Linked DNA regions of Caenorhabditis elegans. The protein of the gene in region 3 purifies or fractionates together with the protein of the main gene of each other region. This does not show direct contact. Each region holds a gene or a part of one and is shown on either strand. Other genes may lie near its edges.

Evidence for each region.
Region 1: the proteins of lap-1 (region 3) and fah-1 fractionate together in Caenorhabditis elegans (co-fractionation; one large-scale study listed by BioGRID). This does not show direct contact.
Region 2: the proteins of lap-1 (region 3) and rpia-1 fractionate together in Caenorhabditis elegans (co-fractionation; one large-scale study listed by BioGRID). This does not show direct contact.
Region 4: the proteins of lap-1 (region 3) and alh-8 fractionate together in Caenorhabditis elegans (co-fractionation; one large-scale study listed by BioGRID). This does not show direct contact.

The regions. Positions count from the first base shown.
Region 1 is NC_003284.9:6,445,380-6,451,088, forward strand, and holds fah-1 (Fumarylacetoacetase), read right to left. Parts: upstream 3,538-5,709; 5' UTR 3,530-3,537; coding exon 3,446-3,529; intron 3,394-3,445; coding exon 3,167-3,393; intron 2,674-3,166; coding exon 2,429-2,673; intron 2,383-2,428; coding exon 2,227-2,382; intron 2,102-2,226; coding exon 1,848-2,101; intron 1,744-1,847; coding exon 1,453-1,743; 3' UTR 1,367-1,452; downstream 1-1,366. Other genes in the region: asp-14 (Peptidase A1 domain-containing protein), read right to left, coding at 187-315, 1,131-1,227; grl-6 (Ground-like domain-containing protein), read right to left, coding at 4,657-4,839, 4,883-5,005, 5,050-5,278, 5,325-5,482, 5,531-5,560. UniProt on the Caenorhabditis elegans protein: Fumarylacetoacetase involved in the tyrosine degradation pathway.
Region 2 is NC_003281.10:7,120,750-7,125,440, forward strand, and holds rpia-1 (Probable-ribose 5-phosphate isomerase), read left to right. Parts: upstream 1-2,378; 5' UTR 2,379-2,435; coding exon 2,436-2,495; intron 2,496-2,542; coding exon 2,543-2,695; intron 2,696-2,742; coding exon 2,743-2,985; intron 2,986-3,109; coding exon 3,110-3,409; 3' UTR 3,410-3,586; downstream 3,587-4,691. Other genes in the region: B0280.9 (U3 small nucleolar RNA-associated protein 18 homolog), read right to left, coding at 261-600, 839-971, 1,019-1,112, 1,170-1,270, 1,322-1,502, 1,551-1,759, 1,806-1,881, 1,987-2,142; B0280.2 (uncharacterized protein), read left to right, coding at 3,938-4,018, 4,105-4,197, 4,421-4,512, 4,558-4,691.
Region 3 is NC_003281.10:8,398,238-8,404,384, reverse strand, and holds lap-1 (Leucine aminopeptidase 1), read left to right. Parts: upstream 1-2,456; 5' UTR 2,457-2,475; coding exon 2,476-2,617; intron 2,618-3,268; coding exon 3,269-3,588; intron 3,589-3,935; coding exon 3,936-4,284; intron 4,285-4,329; coding exon 4,330-4,459; intron 4,460-4,505; coding exon 4,506-4,728; intron 4,729-4,775; coding exon 4,776-5,087; 3' UTR 5,088-5,193; downstream 5,194-6,147. Other genes in the region: ubxn-4 (UBX domain-containing protein 4), read left to right, coding at 1-425, 472-561; cutc-1 (Copper homeostasis protein cutC homolog), read left to right, coding at 778-1,094, 1,427-1,862; ZK353.2 (uncharacterized protein), read right to left, coding at 5,249-5,339, 5,406-5,495, 5,543-5,661. UniProt on the Caenorhabditis elegans protein: Probably acts as a digestive enzyme.
Region 4 is NC_003280.10:11,726,945-11,732,646, forward strand, and holds alh-8 (putative methylmalonate-semialdehyde/malonate-semialdehyde dehydrogenase [acylating], mitochondrial), read left to right. Parts: upstream 1-2,110; 5' UTR 2,111-2,134; coding exon 2,135-2,161; intron 2,162-2,321; coding exon 2,322-2,378; intron 2,379-2,432; coding exon 2,433-2,605; intron 2,606-2,652; coding exon of another isoform or gene 2,653-2,662; coding exon 2,663-3,170; intron 3,171-3,228; coding exon 3,229-3,678; intron 3,679-3,732; coding exon 3,733-4,089; 3' UTR 4,090-4,254; downstream 4,255-5,702. Other genes in the region: F13D12.5 (uncharacterized protein), read left to right, coding at 1-69, 122-248, 295-505, 558-945, 993-1,092, 1,140-1,382; F13D12.8 (Col_cuticle_N domain-containing protein), read right to left, coding at 4,282-4,475, 4,733-4,879, 5,315-5,426. UniProt on the Caenorhabditis elegans protein: Probable malonate and methylmalonate semialdehyde dehydrogenase involved in the catabolism of valine, thymine, and compounds catabolized by way of beta-alanine, including uracil and cytidine.

The DNA.
Region 1 (5,709 bases), on a different chromosome or scaffold from region 3:
TAAGTGATAGTCTTTGACCGATAATCAACATAAAAAACGATTTTAGTGCCGATATAATAGGGCAAATTGTCAGCAAAAGCTGACAAAAACTGTCATCATTTCGTGATTATGTTCGAGATGTTTTATACATTTAAAAGTCGTAAAACTATCAAATTGCAATCAAGAAAGCGATTGGTTGAAACTCACTGCAACTCATATCTGGAATAACAATGTCAGCGGTCGAAGTGTCAATGACAACAGTGAAAAGTTGTCCTGGTGTTCCCATGGTCAAGTTAGCAACGAAGAAGGTTGAGGTTTGCTCCAGAGTTTGTCCTCCTGGAATTAAACTTCAGTTTTGAAAATCTAAGGAACTTGTGTATTATATACCAAAAGTAATTTTCAGTACAAAACAATTCACTAGTGGAATGTAATAGATTTAGAAAACCATTATTCCTAACAAGGGAAGGCTCTGAACTCGTTATCGGACTTCGTTACGCCACTATATACATTCGATAGAGAATAGTTACAGATGATCACTCCAAAAATTTAGCTGCTTCAGAGCAGGTTTGATCAAGTTACGACATTTTGAAAGTGCCAAAATACCCCTTTTTAAAAATTCCAAAAAAATCAAAAAAAAAAAGTTTTTTTCTAAAAGTTGATATAAAATGTTTTCAAATAGTTGGAAATGATGGAAAAATCATACCACACAAGTTTCAGTTCATAATTCTCAAAACAACCAATATATAATTGGAAATCAACCGCAACATTGTGTTTGTAAGTTATAAGCTTTATTCTAAGTTAAATACATTCTACTCAATGTCGTAAAGGAAATAATGTTTGTTCATTCACTGTACATTTTATGTGGCTTCGGGATATATATATACGTGCTCTTAAAACAACTTACCGCTCTCCACTATTATTACTCCCAGTTACGTGTCTATCCCTATTTTGAATAAAATATAACGTTAATGTACCATTAAATGTTCATGTTCAATCAAACGTGATCGAAATTTTTATACGCTTCGGAAAATAATTCAAAAAAAAAATCAAAAATAATGCTTAAATGTTCATTTTAAATTTTGTAAAGGCTTCCATTTACAAACACCAAATTTCACTTTATCTGAAACAAATCTGTAAATTCTCATACTCACCTTTGGTAATGTTGGTAACTGCAGCATGAACTTTGAAAGGAATCACAAAAGCTGAGGTCGAGGCCACAAAGGCCAAAAGCAAGATTGTCTTGATCATGATTGAACTGAGAATGATTTCCAAGCAACCAGCTCTCCTATTTATTCGCTCATGCTTTGAACTGATAACATAGAAACCAAAAAATCGTGACAAACCCCTATCATTTTCGACACTGCACACTTCCACTTTCATCACTTTTCGTGGGCTTCAGAACTTTATTCGACGAGATACTACTAACAAACGAGAGAATGAAACAAAAAGCAAAACGATTTAATTACGATGATTTTAGATATCGGCTGGCAGGACTTTTCCGCGGCACTCTCCGAAACCAATTCTGACTCCATTCTTTTCACAAACTCCAGAAAGGTTGACCTCATCTCCGTCCTTTAAGAACTTTCGGATTTCTGAGCCAACTGGAACTTCTTTGGCTCCGCGCCACGAAAGCTCGAGCATGGATCCATATGCACCTTCTTCTGGTCCAGATACAGTTCCTGATCCCAAAAGATCTCCAGCGCGGAGGTTGCATCCATTGACGGTGTGGTGAGCAAGTTGTTGTTTTAGAGTCCAATACAAATGCTAGAAATTACAGTATTGTAGTTGAGAAAACCTTAACGAGCGTTTATGATCCAATTTACAGTGAACAGTGTAGATAATATCGTTTCTACTAAACTTGAACATACCTTGAAGTTAGTTTTACAGACAATATGGTCCACAGCATCTCCTTCTGGACGGATACTGACGGCCAAATTGATGTCAAGGGTAAATGGGTCATCGTGATGGAGATATGCTGGTGGAACTGGATCTTGTACTGGATTCTCAACAAAGTATGGACGAAGAGCTTCAATTGAGACGACCCATGGAGAAACAGTTGTGGCAAAGGATTTAGCAAGGAATGGGCCGAGTGGAACGTATTCCCAAGCTTGGATATCGCGAGCTGGAAAAGTTTTTTTTCGGATGAGTATGGAGCAAACTTGAAAATAACTACTGTTGAATTTTCTTGTCACCAAAATGTCGAGTTTAAATGTTTTTGTTTGATATTTAATTAACATCGTTACTCACCACTCCAGTCGTTCATGAGCACAACTCCAAAGATACGATCCTCAGCCTTCTCGATTGGAACACGAGTTCCCAATTCATTTTCTGGACCTCCCACAAAGAACGCCATCTCGAGCTCAAAGTCCATAAGCTTTGATGGACCAAACGATGGAACCTCAGCTGAAAGCGGACACATTTGCATTATTGGTGCAAATCTAAATCTTACCATCTGGGGCCTTAGTTTGTCCAACTGGTCTTTTCAAGTCTGTTCCAGATACAACGATTGATGAAGCTCTTCCGTGGTATCCGACCGGAAGCCACTTCCAGTTTGGCATCAGAGCATTTTCCTTTCCACGGAACATGATTCCGACGTTGGTGGCGTGATGGATGGAGGAGTAGAAATCGGTGTAATCTCCGATTTGAGCTGGAAGGTGCATTGTAGCATCGGATTGAGCGACAAGAGCCCGGCTTCTGTAAATAAAAACATAAGAATATTATTACAAAGTTTCTTGGTTGTTTTAAACAGAGTTATATGTAAGTTGTGCGCAAAACGTACAAAGCTTCTAATTACAGTATGAGATTTCAATTTATAAATCAAAAATTAATATAAAAATGTAGGTTTTTCTCGATTTTGAAATAGATTTTTTTAAAAATAATGCCTACAAGTCGCCAACAAAGTTTAACGATATATTTAAAGTCAAATGAAGTATTTCAAAAACTTTGACGGGTTTCCAGGCGTTCTCAATAAAATAATTTTTTTCAGATTGACCGAACATTTTCACATACTTCTATATACATTTCAACTTGCCAACTTGCTGCACAGTATTGATTCAACTTTGCAATTATAAACTAACGATAAAAATTAAAACTTGTGAAATAGTTGTTTAGATTTGGTTAGTAGATTATCAGACACACTTTGTACTACTTTTTAACTTTTTCAAATTTGTTTTGCCAACTTATTCACCTCAAATGAGCGTTATCCCTAAGAACAGCACAATCCTCTGAGAGCAGTTGTTGGATTCTTGCACGAGCTTCCAACCAGGCTGGACGTGGCAGTGCCATGAACGCGTTCAATGTGCTCTGCTTGAAAACATCCTGATGTGCCTTCAATTGAGGTCCGTCAAAAAGATTGGCAATTTCTGCCAAGTTGAGGATTTGATCTCCAATTGCAACTCCAATGTGGCGGGAAGACTGAAAATATTTAGTTTAATTTTGCTTTAGAAATAATTATTTATACACTTACGTCAGCCTTTGTTGAGAAAACACCATACGGTAAGTTTTGAATTGGGAAATCCGAGTTTTGAGGAACAGAAACGAAGGATTTCATGATTTAGCCTGCAAAGCAATACAAGTTTTGAAAAATGGAGTTGAGTAGACAGCAGTCTGTTATGTCTCCGAAACTGTACACGCATGCGGCGTTGAAACAGAAAATAGCATACAGGTTGGAGAGGGTGCTAGTGACAAATACAAAAAGGAGTCGTACACGCATAGGCCAAGGTCGATACACGACTAAACGACCACCAATAAAAACAAAACGATAACCAAAAAAAATGACTGCACACAGACAGTGACAATGACAGATGTGCACCACTGAAACCGCTATATAAGGTCTCACAAATCTAATTGAAAAGATAAGATGATGATAGTGACGTCAATTGGATAAAACAATAGAGTATATCAGATAAGTTTTGACAAGAGAGAGAAAACTACATTGGATGCAAATTGAATTGCGAAACAGTCACGTGATGATTTTTTCTTGAATGTTTGGATGGCATTATTCTATAGTTGTTTGTTTGCATTGGCAATGATACTGTTTCATGAATAAAAAGCAAGTAGGAGTATGACGATTTTAAAGAGTGGAGAACTAGTGTTTTTTAGAGTTGCTTATGTTTATAATATAGAAATCTCAATTCCATGAAGATAAATTGCTACTAAAACGCTTTTTATATCAGAAGAAAAACGGTCTCTAGCAATTTGTATCTTAGAAAACTCTTACCACCATTTCGAGTAGAGAAAACGTTTCACAATCGGATGTAGGTTTTTAACCTGTAGATTTCAGATCACCACAGCCTGCTGAGCAGGTCAAAAGTTGTAACTTAAAGGTGAGTTGTATTGTTAAATATTATCGGTAATTGATAAACAGGTACGGCGAGTGAAATGGTCAAAAAAATATAAAAATAATTTATTTCTATAATAAAGGGTTGTAATACACAAGAAACATTTTTTAAGGTTAAACATTTTGAAAATACAAACACCAACAGCGATGAACTATTGAATTAACACTTTCTCTACTGTCGTTGAGTATAAGTGTTAGTTTCAAACTTTTTATATCTTGTTGGATTTTGCTTTTACGAAATCAAATTGAATTAAAAACTTTCAAAAAATTAATTTATTGAAGCCAGTAGTGGACAGAAAAAGCAGGAAATACAGACAAAAAAAAAACACCAAATAAGTTTATTGCAATGGTTTGAATGCATAACAGGTGACATCTTCCTTAAATGCTTGGCAGAATGTATCGGTATGAGCTATGTAACTGAATTCTCCTGTACCACAAATAACGTTCACCTCATGGCCTAGTGTTTCTTCGGCAATTTTCTGAATGTTCCTCTTTGATTCACTTGCATCTTCGCTAATATTCTGAAAAGAGAGTAGGCTTGACGTGCAAAACGAGTGTACTCACATCAAGGATAATGTTTTTCAGTTCGGAACTGTTACACGAAGGGTCGATTGTTTTGGCTGCAAATGCGGCGCGTCTCACACTTTTGTACTTGCATGGCGATGAGCAGCCACAGCAACAATCGTTCTGAAATGATATTTTCTTAAAGGTTCTTTCAAAAATCTACCAACCTGAGCTGGAATTCTGACTGATGGTACAACTGCACCACCTCCACATCCTCCAGCTGTTGGCATTGGCTGAGGCATCATTGGCTGATAGTACTGGGGAACATATGATGGGTAGAACGATGGTCGTTGCATCATACACGGGCAAGATGGTCTCGGCATTGGTGGAGGTGGTGGAGGGCATGGCATTGGCGGTGGTGGAGGCGGAGGACAAATTGGTGGTGGTGGACAGAATCTGTGAACAAGCATGTGAATATTCTAGGTTTATTGCTGAAACTTACTGAGCCGGGCATGGTGGAGGTGGAGGACAGACTGGCATTGGCATCGGCATTGGCATCGGTGCAGCACATGGCATTCTTGGTTGGCACATTGGAGTCGGGCATCCTCCACACCCTCCTCTACCAAATGGGTACTGAGCAAAGGCAAAATGAAATGAAATCTGAAAATCCGAATGAGTAAAAGAGATATTCGATGATTCATTGCTTACCAAGAAAACTGCAACCGACAAAGTACTCATATTGCGCAAATATGGAATGGAAGTGGAAGAAGCTATGGTTTCCGACCACACACGCGGATATTTATACTACTTCGCACGTGCAACTGGTTTTTTGGGGGAAATTCTGAGTTTCAAGAAGATGCTGTGACCTTTAGAAGCTTTTCGATATT
Region 2 (4,691 bases), 1.3 Mb from region 3:
GACAATTCTATGTCACTATAGTGTACAAAGAACGATCAAGTCATTTTTCGGTACAGACTAGGACTACGTTCAACTGTTTTTGAATTTTTTGTGCAAACGTCGGTTTGTATTTTTAAATCTTCCAGTGGTTCAAAAGCTGCTCTGGAAGTTGGAATAAAAACGATAAATTTTCATAACAACAAAAAAACGGATGAAGAATAAAAACAAAACAATTTGGACGAAATCAACGACAAAGAAAAGAATAACAATGTTAGAACCAATTAATAGTCTGTAAAATGATGAATTTCAAAAACATGAAGACGTCCATCATCGTTTCCAACGGCCATATATCCTCCATTTGGAGAAAACTCCACACATCTTGCATGTGTCACTTTTCCGTTTCTTTCCGGGAAGTTTTTGAATGTTGTCTGACTTGCCACGTGGACGAGACGAAGATGATTGTCCTTGACATTTGAACAAATTGCCATCAATTGAGCATCAGAATTGAAAGCGATTGATGAGACCGCGGTGACGAGATTAGAAACATTGAAAAGTGGACGAGGATTTGTAGAATTGCGGCAATCATTTCCAGAATAGACATTCACGATTCCGGTATCACTTCTGGAAATTTCAAATTTTCATCATATAATCAGGATGTATGTAAAGACTAGGTCATTTATTTTCACCGGAATTCAACAAAAAAAGATTTTTTTTTTTAAATTTTTGTTGCTAAACTGAAAATATCAACAAAAAAAAAGATGTAGCAAACTGTACAATTATATTAATATATGAATTATATGAATGAATGACAGTATCGTGATTTTACGAATTATAAAAGTTTGATTTTAAAAAAGCTTACCCAGTCGCAAAGTAATCTCCATGTTGGCTGATGGCGAGTGTTGTTCCGTGCACAGCTCCATCGTCGGTGAATGTATGTTGCGATGATTTGGTTCCCGGCAATCCAATGTTTGCGATCACAATTTGGCCGGTCTCTAGAAATTTCGAATAATTTTTGAATTTTTGGCAATATAAAACCAACCGCAGATGATCCAAATTTCACGGCTGTGCGATGGGAAAAACTTGATTTCTGACGCATTTGCTGGGAGTGATATTGTTGTGATATGCTCCATCGACTGAAACATTTTACATTTAAACTTTTAATTTGCCAATAATTTAATTTTTTGACATACAGTAGCATGGAGAACATAGATGTGAGAATTGTGTCCTGCAATTGCCAAAAATTGAGAGTCATGCGAAATGGCAAAGAGCCGAATTCCTTGCTTTGGTACTGCTGTAAAATGTTCAAAGTTTTGCTTCAAATTTTATTAAATATTAAACGTACTGTTTGGAGGTTTCAACTGTGTCACTTCTCTTGTTTCCATATTGTACTGCATCAAATATTCCTTTCGGCTTGAAGAACAGATCACAGAGTGTCCTTTATCAGCAATTTCCAGACTATCAATCGGGAATTTTGAGAAATTCGCACTTTGAAGGAAACGATCCTTTTTAACCTCACGACTTACCTGAAATAAGTAAGGAATGGTTTAATTAAAACAGAAAACACAACTTACTTTAAAAAGTTGAACATTTCCACCTTGATCGGCAACAATGAGCACTGGTCGGGTTTTATGAAATTTAACAACAGTGATTCCACGAGTGTATCGGTGTCCGATGTTGAAATCTTTTATAAGAGTTGTATGAATAGTTGTTTTTGGTAAATTCACGTCTTTCGCCAAATATCCGGCAGCAGTTTTCAACAATGACCCTTCTTCTTCGTCTCCTAAAATTGTAAAATACGATTTTTGAACTATTGATTTTCCAAAAACCTGCAGCAGCCTTAGCCCATTTTGGTGTGCCTCCGTGGCGTTTTCTGAACGCCTCTTGCAATCTACCAACGTATTCCTAAAATATTAAAATTATTTTTCAGAAGTAATTTATCCTTCTGCCTATTTTCAATTATATAATCTTTATTACACGTTGAATAACGTATTTCTAAAAAAAATTTACCTTTGAATCCAATTCTCCATGTTCTTCGTCTGTGGTTCGCTTGAGTTCAACTCGCATTGTCATTTTCACTTTTTTTGGAACCGCCACAACCATATTATCGTCGTCCTCATCGTGCCACGCAGGCTTTTCAGACTCAATCACTGGCCGTTTGCTCATTTCTCTGAAAATTGTTCAAAATAACCTTAATGAAAGATTCAATAAGCTGAAAATTAAAGAAAATTCGGAAAAGAAAAAAGAAAAATGAGAAGCAATTGTCGTCAAATAGTGTGTGTTATCGTAGTTTTAGTGCAAACACCGTCACGTCTCAATGCAGAATTTCATTAATTTCAGTATTTCAGCTGAAAATTTCAGTCTTTCTTATCAATTTACTATTGTTTTCGTTTTCTTTTCAGCATTTTTGTATGTTTTCTACAAAATTTCCATTATCAGGAGTATTGCGAACCGCCAGAATGGTCACCTCCACCGGCCCTGAAGCAGAACTGGCTCCTATTGAGCAGGCGAAGAAACGAGTAAGTCAAAAATTAAGACCAATTCCAACCCTCATTAATCATTTCAGGCTGCGTTTGCCTGCGGTGAAAAATATGTGCAAAGTGGTTGCCGTCTTGGTGTTGGATCCGGAAGCACTGTCAAGTATTTGGTAGAATATCTTAAACAAGGATTTCAGAATGGAAGTCTCAAGGATATCATCTGTGTTCCAACCAGTTTTTTGGTAAACAGATTTTCAACAAACCCAATTGTTATAAATAAGTATTTCAGACAAAACAATGGCTGATTGAGTCTGGTCTCCCTGTCTCCGATTTGGATTCACATCCAGAACTGGATGTGTGTATTGATGGAGCTGATGAAGTTGACGGACAGTTCACGTGCATCAAAGGCGGAGGTGGATGTCTGGCTCAAGAAAAAATTGTTCAAACCGCTGCAAAAAACTTTTACGTGATCGCTGATTATTTAAAAGATTCCAAACACTTGGGTGATCGCTATCCGAATGTCCCAATTGAGGTAAATTATTTAACTTTTTATAATTATCAGTAAAGAAAGATGCACTAAAGAATAAACTTTAGAACAATAGTTTTTTCTAAATAGATGTAGTTATGTTGACTGTTTTTAATGAGATTTATTGCAGGTTCTACCTCTTGCTGCTCAACCACTTCTACGTTCGATTCCACGCGCTGAAGGTGGAAGCTGTCAACTTCGACAAGCTGTCAAAAAGTGCGGACCAATTGTGACAGACAATGGAAACTTCATTATTGATTGGCAGTTCGAGAAAAACGTATCCGGAAGAGATTGGTTCGCGATTCAGCAACGATTGGCCAATACACCAGGAATTGTTGAAACCGGATTATTCATCGGTTGCGTCGACGCAGTATTCTTCGCGTACTCTGACGGATCTGTCAAGGAAATTGTCAATTCCAAGAAGCACTGACTACTTGCATCGAATTTTGTTCATATTGAAAATTAGTTGTTTCTTATCACCACCACACTCTCCAAACTTCACTTTTCCTCTTCCCAGTTGTTGTGAAAATTGTACCCATTCATTCCCAATGTTCCTAGTATACGTGTAGTTCTTAGAATAGCCCCAATAAAAATTGTGTTGAAAAAACGTCTTTCTTAAAAAACTGAAAAAAAAATTAGAAAACTCTGAAAACGTTTTGAAATGTAAAGTGTCTGGATGTAAAGTGTCTGAAACTGTTTAATTTCAAATTACAGTAGTCTTGAAGTGTATGAATGGCGAGGATAGCTTAAAGATTGAAAGAAATGAGAATTTGCTTCCTAAATGACTCATTGGAGGCGGTAAAATTAAGAGCGAGCAATAATTTCAAAAATACTGATAAAGTTGGGAAATAAGTAAATATTTCAAAATTTTTAACAATTGCTGTATTAAAAAGCACTTTCGTCAAATCGTATCATTCGTATTCTATTCATTCCAGATTGTTCAAATTTTAATTTCCAAATGATTACATCTGAATTGAGTGATTTCCTCGAGATCAACGAAAAAAATAGTGTTCTAAGAGGAATATCGGCAAGCGATAAGGTATGATTTTGTGCACTAAGAGATAGGCACGGTCTCTGCTTAAAGACAAATGTAGTTTCAATTCAACTAGCTTGTGCTCATTTCAGATACTTTCATCAGGTATTTGTCAACTTCTTTTTTCTGAAAATGGGCATTGGCGGATACCGAATGGGGGAACCGCTGTGGCATTGTTTTTGAAAGTAAGTACGATAAATTTTAAAAAGATGAACTGTGGTAGAAAGCTGCAAAGATGTTATCATATGAAAACTACTAGAAGAACAAACAATTAATCTAGATTAATTATTTCAAAATGAGAAATGTATACTTTTTTCGAAGTGAGTCGCAGTAGGATTGTTTGCAAAATCCAATTTAGTTTTGCAAAGAAATACTCAAACTCAACAGACGATTAATTCAATTTTTCAGAACAGTACGGAACGATATTACCGGATAATAGTAATGGAACCATCTGCAGATCCAGATTGGGAACCAACAGTTCAATTTGATTTTCTTATTAGGTAATCTTGAATATAATTTAATTTCAACTAACACTATGATTATAGAGACAAAAAGTTTGAAACAATGCAGGAACATGCAAGGTTACTCGTTTTTGAGGCAGAATCCAGATACATTGGATTGAACTTTTACGACTCAAAGGAATGTGAGAACTTTCACAATAGTGTTTGCAAACGACAAA
Region 3 (6,147 bases):
TTCCTTCAAATGATGTTCTCAATTCTCTCGTAGAGATCATTCGTCAAAAGCCCTCTATTGCTGGAACTACTTTTGAAATTCAGCAACCGTATCCACGCCGCATATTTACAAATGATGACTATTCGAAAACATTCCTCGAGAATCAATTAACACCCTCTACCGCACTTGTCGTAATTCAAAAATCGTCGGGTTCCTCTTCAAATTATGGATCTTTCTCGCTCAGTACTCAAACCGTATCCTTTGTAACATGGGTTTTATACCCACTCACTGCTTTTTGGAATATTTTCTGTGGTATGATTGGCTGGAATTCTACCGGAAAACAACAAGACTCGAAATCTAAGAAAAACGATGGGCCATCTACATCGGGTCAATCAGGATCACAACCACAAAGACGCGGGATGCCAAGGAGTGCGGAAGTTCGTCGGGTTTGTGTGCATTGTTATTTTCTTTCCATAATGAAATTATTTTCAGCGTGGAAACGTCGCAGGGCTTGAAAATCCGAATGAAGACGATCCTGAAGAGCGAGCCAGTTTCAATGGAAATTCTACTCAGTTCATGTAATAATGTAAATTTCTTGTCGCCTGTGATTCCAACACCAAAAGTTCATCGCCATGGATAATTTATTTTTTGCTCGTTTATAATTCGAATCGAATAAAAGTTTTCATTTATCCCAGATATGTTCAGTTTTCTTGCTGAGTTTTCGGATTTTAAACCATAACTTTATACCTATTCTTTACAATGTTAAAAACATATTTTCTCAAACTCTATTGTGTTAAGATGACAGAAACAGAATCCCAGAAGCAAATAAAACTGGAAATATGCATCGATAATCTGGAATCTGCGGAAAATGCTGTTGCCGGTGGAGCTGATCGATTGGAAGTTTGCTCAGCTTTACAACTCGGAGGGCTCACTCCATCCGTCGGATTTGTGTCTATTCTGAGCTACAAGTATCCCGATATTCCACTTTATTGTATGATTCGCCAACGGGCAGGCGATTTTGTGTATAATGAAGACGAAATGGCAGCGAATATGGAAGACGTTGAATGGCTCAAAAAAGCTGGTGCCACAGGATTCGTTTTTGGAGCATTAACATCGTAAGTCGGAGAGTTTTAAATTGAATGAAACAAATAAATATATTATAATTTTATTTCCAACATGTTTAAATGAAAAAAGAAAAACATATTCTTGTTTCATTTCGAATTTTTCACCATTTTCCGCAAATAAATTCTCAATCAAGTTTATCAATAAAAATTTTACATAACATTTAAATAATTATTTTTAGGCTGACTTAATTTTTGAACAATGCGGAAAGCTTGTTTTTAAAAAACATTTAAAATGCATAGACATGCGGCAAAATTACGAAAGAAGTTTTGTAATTATAACGGTTGATTGCTCTGGATGATCCACAAAAAATTTCAATTTTCAGAGCCGGTTCATTGGATCGTACATCATGTCAATCAATAATTGAAACTGCCCGTCCACATCCTGTCACATTTCATCGAGCAATTGACGTCGCCTATGACTGGAAAACTTGTCTTGAGGACGCTATTGATGTTGGATTCAAAGCTGTTTTGACAAGTGGACAAGAGCCGTCAGCACTCGACGGAGTTTATATCATTCGAGAAATGCAAGAACTTCACAAAGGAAAGATCGATGTTCTCGCAGGTTGTGGTGTGAACAGTTCGAATGTCGCGAATCTTGTCGAATGGACTAAATGTCACTGGTATCATGCTTCAGCTTCTGTTGCCAAGAAAAATGCTCCATTGAATAAGGTGTCAATGGGAAAACAGGACAATCAGCCATCACGTGTCACTTCTTTGGAAGAAGTACGGATGTTGAAAGCGACATTGGCCCCCGTTTAATTATGTTCAATTCTTTTTCATGTCATATTCCAGTCTATATTGCATGCTTCATCATAGTTTCTAACATTTTCATTGTGTTTTGCAATTAGTTGGCTAGAATTTTTCTGTACCGAAAGTTATTTATTAATTTTAGAAGCTCACTAATCAATTAGATATTCGAAGTAGCATGTTTTTTTACTCTACGGGATTGTGAGGGTTATCAATTTATTTATGCCTAGGCAACTTTAATATAGGAGTTGATTTGAACTTAATTAAAATTTTAAATTTCGCTCCTCATTATTTCACAACCTCTCAAATTTTAGACCACGAATGTATGCAAACACGCGCCCTGAAGATTTGTTCCTTCTCTCAATTTCTCATTTTTTTGCTCTACATTTTCTCTCGCCATTTTTTATCATCCTTTTCTCGCATTTATGTTTCTCTGGTCACTCTTTCTCTACCTGCTGGAGGAACTGATAAACGGTTTATTTGAGTAATAATTTTTACACCTTTTTTCTAAAAAGAGTTTGCCTTTTTTAGTCTGAATACTATAGTTTATACTTTCCAACTTTGTTTTTTTTTAATTCAAAAGGTTTTCAAAGTTTCTAATTTCAGTGATTAGTGTCACCTAAAAATGACACAAGTCCTCGTTCGTAACGGGATTCAAGCTGTTGGAGATGGCCTGACTAGCCTAATCATTGTTGGAAAGAAGAGTGTCTTGAAAAATGTGACTTTCGAAGGAAAATTCAAAGAAGTCGCACAAAAGTTTGTTACAGGTTCGGTTTTGGTAGATTACACAAACGCGATGTTTTTTGATTTTTGTCCAAAATTACGGTACATGGTCACTTTCGTTTAAAAAAATTCATATATATCTAGAGATATCTATATACATACTAAATATTAAACATATATTAAATAAAAACACATACATTTTAACAAAGCGCGGAAGAGACTATGGAAACATACCCGTGCGGCATTTGGTTTCGGCATTTGAACAAAATGCACTTTTTCATAAATATGAAAATACGTATATGTATGAAATAGCATACGATGAGAAGCCTGACTCTTAGGCTTGTCACCAGTCAAAAAAATTTCAAAAAAAGTTTACCCCTGCTCGAGATATGCACCCAAATGCCGTATGGCGAATGCCGTATGCCGTATGCCGTATGACGTATTTTCATATTTATGAAAAAGTGCATTTTGTTCAAATGCCGAAACCAAATGCCGCACAGGTATGTATGGAAAATCATGAACCATTCAGAATAAATGAGATTTTGAAATTACAGTACTCTAAAAGACCCACACCTCCCTGTAGTTTACAAAAATGTCTCTTGTCGAGACCTGGTACCGTATGGTTGGTGTAAAGAGAACAACATTTTGCATCTGCAGATGGTTCATACTTTTCCATAATATAAAAATAATTTCAGATGGCGACTCATGGAACTCTATGATTTCTCGAATCCCCGCCTCAGGACGTCATCCTCTTCACTACGAGCTGGCTCATTTGATCACTGTCCCAGATGCCTCTTCACGTGGAAATACCCCCACTAATGCTCATTCGATATATAAGGAGTTAAAACCAATCAACTATCCTGAGGATACAAAGAATGTTCATTTTGTGCTGTTTGCTGAATATCCAGATGTTCTTTCTCACGTTGCGGCTATTGCTCGGACCTTCTGCAAGTTCTCGATGAAAACTTCAGGAATTCGTGAACTGAATGTGAATATCGATGTGGTTTGCGACAAGGTATGTGACAACTATCCTTCATTTTGATATATTGATCTGTATAGTTTTATCATCACTGATAGACAGCAGACACCATGTGCTTGCTTCTATTTGCAAAGTCAGCCTGGAGACTATTCTTTTCTGGAATTGTGTGCTGATAATGTAGAAATACGATAAGAGTTTATTGCGTAGTGTGACGAAATTAAAAAAGAGGAACTAGTAGAATCATTTGATAGCTTCTGCAAAATTCGGCGGTCTTCATGAACTTCCGTTGATAAGAAAGTTATGTGTCCTTCAAGATCTCAATCTCAAAATCCGAATTAATTGTTTTGTTTTAATTGAAAAACAAACATTCAATTTCTTTGCAGCTCACCAACGAGGATGCAGTTTTCCTTACTGATCTCTCAGAATCGGTCCGTGAAACCGCAAGACTCATCGATACTCCAGCCAATATCCTGACTACTGATGCTCTTGTTGATGAAGCAGTCAAAGTTGGAAATGCGACTGGATCAAAAATAACAGTGATCCGTGGGGAAGAACTGTTGAAGGCTGGATTTGGCGGAATCTATCACGTCGGAAAAGCTGGTCCAACACCACCTGCGTTTGTTGTCTTGTCCCATGAGGTTCCTGGATCGACGGAGCACATTGCACTTGTCGGAAAAGGAGTTGTATACGACACTGGAGGCTTGCAAATTAAGACCAAGACTGGAATGCCAAGTATGAAAAACTTCAATTATTATTTATGAAAATGGATTTTTTCAGATATGAAAAGAGATATGGGAGGTGCCGCTGGAATGCTTGAAGCTTACTCTGCTCTTGTCAAACACGGTTTTTCACAAACTCTCCATGCTTGTCTCTGTATTGTTGAGAATAATGTCAGCCCAATTGCAAAGTATATTTAACTTCAATTCAATTTTACTTTATGATTTAATTTCCAGCAAGCCTGATGATATTATCAAAATGTTGAGTGGAAAGACCGTCGAAATCAACAATACTGACGCAGAAGGTCGTTTGATTCTTGCTGACGGAGTTTTCTATGCAAAAGAGACTCTCAAAGCAACAACTATATTCGATATGGCTACTCTGACCGGTGCACAAGCGTGGCTTTCAGGACGTCTTCACGGAGCTGCTATGACAAATGATGAACAGTTGGAGAACGAAGTTGGTCATTCATTAAAAGAATAACAATTTAATTTTTACATTCTTAGATCATCAAAGCTGGAAAGGCTTCAGGAGACTTGGTTGCCCCAATGCTTTTTGCCCCGGATCTTTTCTTTGGTGACTTGAAATCTTCTATTGCTGACATGAAAAATTCGAATCTCGGAAAAATGGATGGACCACCATCTGCAGTCGCTGGCCTCTTTATTGGTGCTCACATTGGTTTTGGCGAAGGACTACGTTGGCTTCATCTTGATATCGCTGCTCCCGCTGAAGTTGGAGATCGTGGTACAGGATATGGTCCAGCTCTTTTCTCGACTCTTCTTGGAAAGTACACTTCAGTGCCTATGCTCAAACAGTAATTGTCCCGTATTCAATGATTTCAATATACGTCATGTTTATTTCTGTGTATTATGTCTGGGTTTTTACTTATTTTATTTTTAAACTGCATATAAATGGTGAGGTAAATACATATCGAAACCTTCAAAATCACAATTAATAAGTTGATTGTCAAACATTGGAATTATTCACGATTACGAGCTGACCACACACATCCGGCTAGACAAGCACAAAGACATACGAAGAATCCAATTATGAATATGACAAGAAATACTCTGAAATTCAATCAAAAATAAGTGTTCTTGCATTTCTGAAAACTTTTTAAAAACAGTTAAACTCACACAACCCATGTCTCCAATTGTATACAACATTCATAAGGACTGTAGTCACAACAACGCCAACGATAAAACACATTATCTGCTCCACATCTTCTGGAATAACGAAGAGTTGAACAATGATCTACTCAAAATAAACAAACCCATAACCTCCATATCCACCATATCCACCGTATCCTCCAGCCATTCCACCAGCCATTCCAAGAACTGATCCAAGTATTCCACCACCACAATTACCGTATCCACCATATCCGTATGACATTGTTTTTTATTCTGAGAAAAAAAGATTTTGAAAGGAACAGTAACCTGTAAAACTAGTGGACATGGAGACGAGAGTACAAAAATAGAACATTATGTAACATTTTTCGTAAAGTTTGAAATTTAGACAGTAAATCTCGATGGGACCCAAATATTACACATTTAACAGATGCAAAATTTAGCGTAATTTGCGCTATAGGTGTACGGTACCGGTCTCAACACGAAAAATTTGTTTTAAATGCAAAAAAGGTGTGTGCCTTTGAGGAGTACTGTAATTTAAAACTTATGTGGAATTTTAATTGATTCTTCACCATATCTCGATTTAAAAAAAAAGATCTCAAACATTTGAAAAACACATAAATTTTTAAAAAATCGTAAGTAAATCTATGAAAAATCAAACAAAAGTTTGAAACTACAGTAATCCTCAAAGGCACACAACTTTTTGCATTTAACAAAAATGTGTCGTGTCGAGACCAATACCGTTTTTTTA
Region 4 (5,702 bases), on a different chromosome or scaffold from region 3:
CAACTACAGATTCGCCGAAGCGAACGTAGAAGCGGGACAATGCCCGCGGGTCATGGAATCCCCGAAAAGGTTTGTTTTGCCGGAAAATTTCGAAAATAATTTAACAAATGTTAATTTTCAGCGAGCCTATTCCCTACCGCTTTGTCGGCGTTCACCTGGTCCGAGATCCGGATGGCATCCATGCGCCGAGGGTGTTGACTGTCACAGAAGACAGTCTCACCTACAATATCAAGATCACGGATTTGCATGTATGCTTATTATAGTGGTTGAAGTGTTGAATTTCGTATTTTTTAGATGTCGAATGGCTTCGAGAAGAACTCCGGGAAGCGGGAGGAGAACATTGGGTCAAGAGAGTCGATCTACCGCGAAGACGGGGCTCGAGGAAAGGCGAAGAGAAATCTGGCCCGTTCAATGTTCGACACGACTCGACACATGCTTTACCTGGACTTTTCAGCTCCTCCATTCTACGATATCGAGCAAATTTACTTGCATGGCATTTTCAGCGGTAATCACTTGCTTAATAAGCCTGCCTTTTAATCATAATTTTTTATTTTCAGATCGATTCGACAAGCTGCACATCGCAAAGTACACTGGCCACGCTGTGAATGGACTGTTCGATTGGGTCGAGGATCCATACACCGATGCAGTTTACTACAAGGAGCGAATTAATGGCCACGTGGAGATGTTCCAAGCAAAAATCAAAGATGTCGTGCCGATTATCACCGGAAAAATGGCTGGACGACGAATCGAAAATTCCTTGTTGAGCGGCGAACTCCAAGGTGTCTCGAACGGAGTATTCTACGAGACGAGTGTGAGAGATGTCAACGAAACGCATCAGACCCTGTCCTCAACGCTGACAACACTCGATTCGGAATGGAGTATCACTTGTAACGCGGAGACGATTTACAGTGTTGTTCCGAAGACCAACAAGCTCCTCATCATCAGGTTTTGAAGAAATCATCGATCTTCGAATTTAATATTCATAATTTCAGGGCCAACGATTATTGCATGTTGAGAGATGGAAAGAATTACAACAAGGAGAGCTGTGAAAACGAGCAGGCAGACTACCTGGCTCGCAATAATCCGTCTGAGGTGAGCTGGTTGTGTTGAAGAAATTTATAAATTAAATATATTTCCAGACCGACAGCAATGTGAACGCGATGATGTGGCTGATCGTGTTCTGCGTCGTCTTAATCCTTCTCGTGATTCTCCAGTGCGTCTACATCTTTTGGCTCCGATCGTCCTTTGTCTCGGCTGACGAGGCCTCTCATCATCAGGATCAGGAGACTGAAGCCTCCATCTTCATCGCGAAACAGCGCAGCTTCCCAGCGAGTTTCCATGAGCCAGGACTTTTGGATGTCTCCGTCGACAAGTGGAATTAAATCATTTTTATTTGAATTTATAGCATTCTCGTTCTTTTTCAATCTTTTCTAGCCTTCTATCCTTCTAGACACTAGACACTGTCATATTCTCATCTCATAATTTTTAATTTTTTACTTTTTTTTTTGTCACATTTCCTAGCACTTTCTGTTTCTTTTTTTTATATAAAATTAAATATTCCGCATTTTTATTTGTTTTAATTAATGATCTTTATCTTAACGTTGTTTATTCACCAACACTATTTTATTTTTGTATTCGAGTTTTCGAGACGCATCGATCACGTTTCTCCAAGTGCACACGGGTCAAATGGTGGGCAGTTGCAGGTCTCTCCACGTGCTGTGGCCGTCTCTTAGTCTCTTGCACTATCACTTTTCCCACTCTCTGACTCTTTTTTATTTCTTTTTCTTCTTTTTTTGCTGAGAGAGAGAGAAAAGCAACTGTTCTTCTTCTTCTGTCCTATTTGCCACTCCTCCCGTCGTCTTATCAACAGCATTGAAACTTCAAAAACTCGCAGATAGAGCTTTTAACCTTTTAATTTTCAATGTTCGCGTGTATTTTGTGGCTTATTTTATTTATTTCTTAGTTCAAAATTCGAAACGTGATCAGTAATGTTTAGTTTTCATTCATTTCGCATTATCCGAATCGTCAGAACCACCACGCGACCGCCCATCTCTTGTGATTTTCAATTTTTCTTCTCGTGCGTTTTCAGTCATTATCTTCTAATTTTCAGCTCTAAAACTTGCGGTACCCCAGAATGTTGTCTCGTCTTGCTCGTGTTCAGGTAGGAGTTTCTTTTTATAATATTTTTTAACAAAAAATCGTGTACTTCACACATCACTTGCAGTCTGTGCGACAGTTGTCGTATGGGGTGACACATTGAAAAAGAAAACGAAAATCAAACAATCAAAACTTCAAAACTTCAAATAATATTCTAATTTCAGCCAAAATGCCAACAGCTCGCCCACTTCAGCACATCGAAGTCTGCTGCCGCCGCACCAGTGAGTTTCAGGCTTGATCTTAAGTTTCCAAATCCAAATTCCATAATTTTTCAGACTGTCAAGCTGTGGATCGATGGACAAGCTGTTGAATCGAAGACCACCGACTTCGTGGAGCTCACCAATCCAGCCACCAACGAGGTCATCGCTATGGTGCCAAACGCCACCCAAGCTGAGATGCAAGCCGCTGTTGACTCGGCCAAGAATGCCTTCAACACCTGGAAGAACACGTGAGTCTTGAATCCCGTGTGATCTTTTTTTTTTATTTCAATAATAGAAGTTTCCAGATCCCCACTGACCCGTCAACAATGCATGTTCAAACTTCAAGCCTTGATCAAGAGAGACATGAAGAAGCTCGCTGAGAGCATCACCATTGAGCAAGGAAAGACCCTTCCAGATGCCGAGGGAGACGTCAGCAGAGGTCTTCAGGTCGTCGAGCACGCTTGCTCCGTTCCATCCCTGATGATGGGAGAGACCCTTCCAAATGTCTCTCGCGACATGGACACCCACTCCTACAGAATCCCACTTGGAGTCACCGCCGGAATCTGTCCATTCAACTTCCCGGCTATGATCCCATTGTGGATGTTCCCAGTCGCCTTGGCCACCGGAAACACTATGGTCATCAAGCCATCCGAGCAGGATCCAGGAGCAGCTCAGCTTCTTGTCGAACTTGCCAAGGAGGCCGGAGTTCCAGATGGATGTGTCAATATTATTCACGGACAGCACTCTGCTGTTAACTTTATCTGCGATAACCCAGATATCAAGGCTATCTCATTTGTTGGAGGAGATGCTGCTGTAAGTTTTTTTGAATTTGTTTTTTATGAACATTAATCAATTTTCATGATTTTTTCAGGGAAAACACATCTACGAGCGTGGAGCCAAGAACGGAAAGCGCGTCCAATCCAACATGGGAGCCAAGAACCACGGAGTCATCATGGCTGATGCCAACAAAGAACAGACCCTCAATCAGCTCACCGCTGCCGCCTTCGGAGCCGCCGGACAACGCTGCATGGCTCTCACCACCGCTGTGCTCGTCGGAGAAGCTCGCGCCTGGCTCCCAGAACTCGTCGAGAAGGCCAAGAACTTGAAGGTCAACGCTGGATGGAAGCCGGATACCGACATCGGACCACTGATCTCCAAGCAATCCAAGGCCCGTGTCCTCCGTCTTATCGAGAGTGCCAAGAAGGAGGGAGCTCAGGTTCCACTTGATGGATCCAATATCACTGTTCCAGGATTTGAGAATGGAAACTTCGTGGGACCAACGATTCTCGCTGGAGTCAAGCCAAATATGACTTGCTACAGAGTAAGATTTTGTTTTTTTTTAAATTTGTTTAATTTAATATTTAATTTTTTGTAGGAAGAAATCTTCGGCCCAGTCCTTGTCGTCATGGAGGCCGAGAACTTGAACGAGGCCATCGAAATCATCAACAACAACCCATACGGAAACGGAACGGCCATCTTCACCAGCAACGGAGCCACCGCCAGAAAGTTCACCAACGAAGTCGATGTCGGACAAATCGGAATCAACGTGCCAATCCCAGTTCCACTCCCAATGTTCTCGTTCACCGGCTCGCGTGGTTCATTCCTCGGAGATCTCAACTTCTACGGAAAGGCCGGAATCCAGTTCTACACTCAATGGAAGACTGTCACTCAATACTGGAACGAGTCGCTCACCGAGCTGAAGCCACAAATGTCGTTCCCACAGCTCAAGTAAATTGAAATTCTGTGAATTCTGAATTCTCTCATCCATCCCCACACACAATCACTTCTTGGTTCTTTTATTCTTGTTCAATAACGTTTATTGCCATGGTTTTTTGCAACCTCTCATTTCTTGTTTGTTCATATATAATACACATTTTATCATAAAAGTGACGATTAGACCCGTAAATGGAATGGGGGAAAATAATCACAGTTCAGAGAGAATCGTATTCGAATGATTGAAATCATAATCAAAACGTGGATAGTAACTATTCGGATCGGCAATCTGTTTATCATTCCGTTTGGAACGAGCCGCCGTGGGTTCGTCGATTTCCAAATCCGATTCCTCATCCTCCTCACTATTTGAAGTTGGATCTAGCGTGACGGCGATTATGATTATACCTGGAAAATATAAAATATTATTGGGACGTAGAAAAAATGCCCAATCAACGTGAAAACGCCCTCCACGGCAAATTGAAAACGCTCCGCCTCCTAACCGTGGGTCTCATTAGGTATTCTACCAAAATTCAGCATTTTCAATTAGCTTCAAGTGGTAACTTTCAAGTTACCAGTTTTTCCTAACGAGACCCAACTATTTGAGGCGGAGCGGTTCCAATTGGCCGTGGAGCGCATTTTCTGCGTCTTCATAATAATCTAACCTGTGATAAGAAGAGCAACACTGATAAGTGATACGATAAGCACCAATGCTACCGAAACGGACATCGACTGTGGTGCATTGTTGTTGAATGGACTGGCGACCGTCGGCGACGGGATCGCGCTGTCCAGAATTCGGCGGGCTTCCTCGTCTGAAAAAATATTTTGAGGAATATTGTTGAATTTTGTAATTTTTTCACCAAAAAATACGGTACTGCTAGGGTCTCGACGCGACCGGAAGTTTTCTGCAGGAAAATTGTGTGCGCTTTTAAAGACTACTGTAGTTGTGAAATTCTCGCTGAATTTTTCAAAATCGTATTTTTCATAAAATATTGATATATTTCAGATTTTGTAAAAATTCATTTGCGAAGATTGCGAAATAACGGGAAATGGGTTACTGTAATTTTAAAGGTGCATACTTTTTGTTGGGTAGATTTGAAAATATTTTGATCGCGTCGAGACCTTTTTTTTATGAAAAAACGTAATAACTTATAATTTTCGATGTTTTTTTAACTCTAAATAAGTTTTATAAAATTTTGCGCCTTTAAACAACTGGTTACTATAACGAAATTTCGAAAAAAGCCTACCATTTGCATCAAAAGCGATCACAATTTTGGAATTCGCATGTGAGACGGCCAAATAAATGAAGGCGACAAAAATGAAACAGGTCAGTAGAATAATACGAACCACGCAACGCATTCAATCATGAGCAGGTGCTGAATGTTATGACGATCAATCTGGAAATTGAGATGGAATTTTAGGGAAACAAAATGAATTATATCTCCTTTCCCATTGTAGGTAATAAAAAAATGTAGAAAATGTAGAAAAAATTGTGTACTACATTTTTCCAGTTGACAGTTTTTGTCTACCTAGCCTGGCAATAAAGTTATGAGCGTTTGAAGACAAGAAGAATTTGTCATACGAGAGAGGGGAAAGGCCGTCGTCGATACATAATGAATATTGGCCCAATCAATT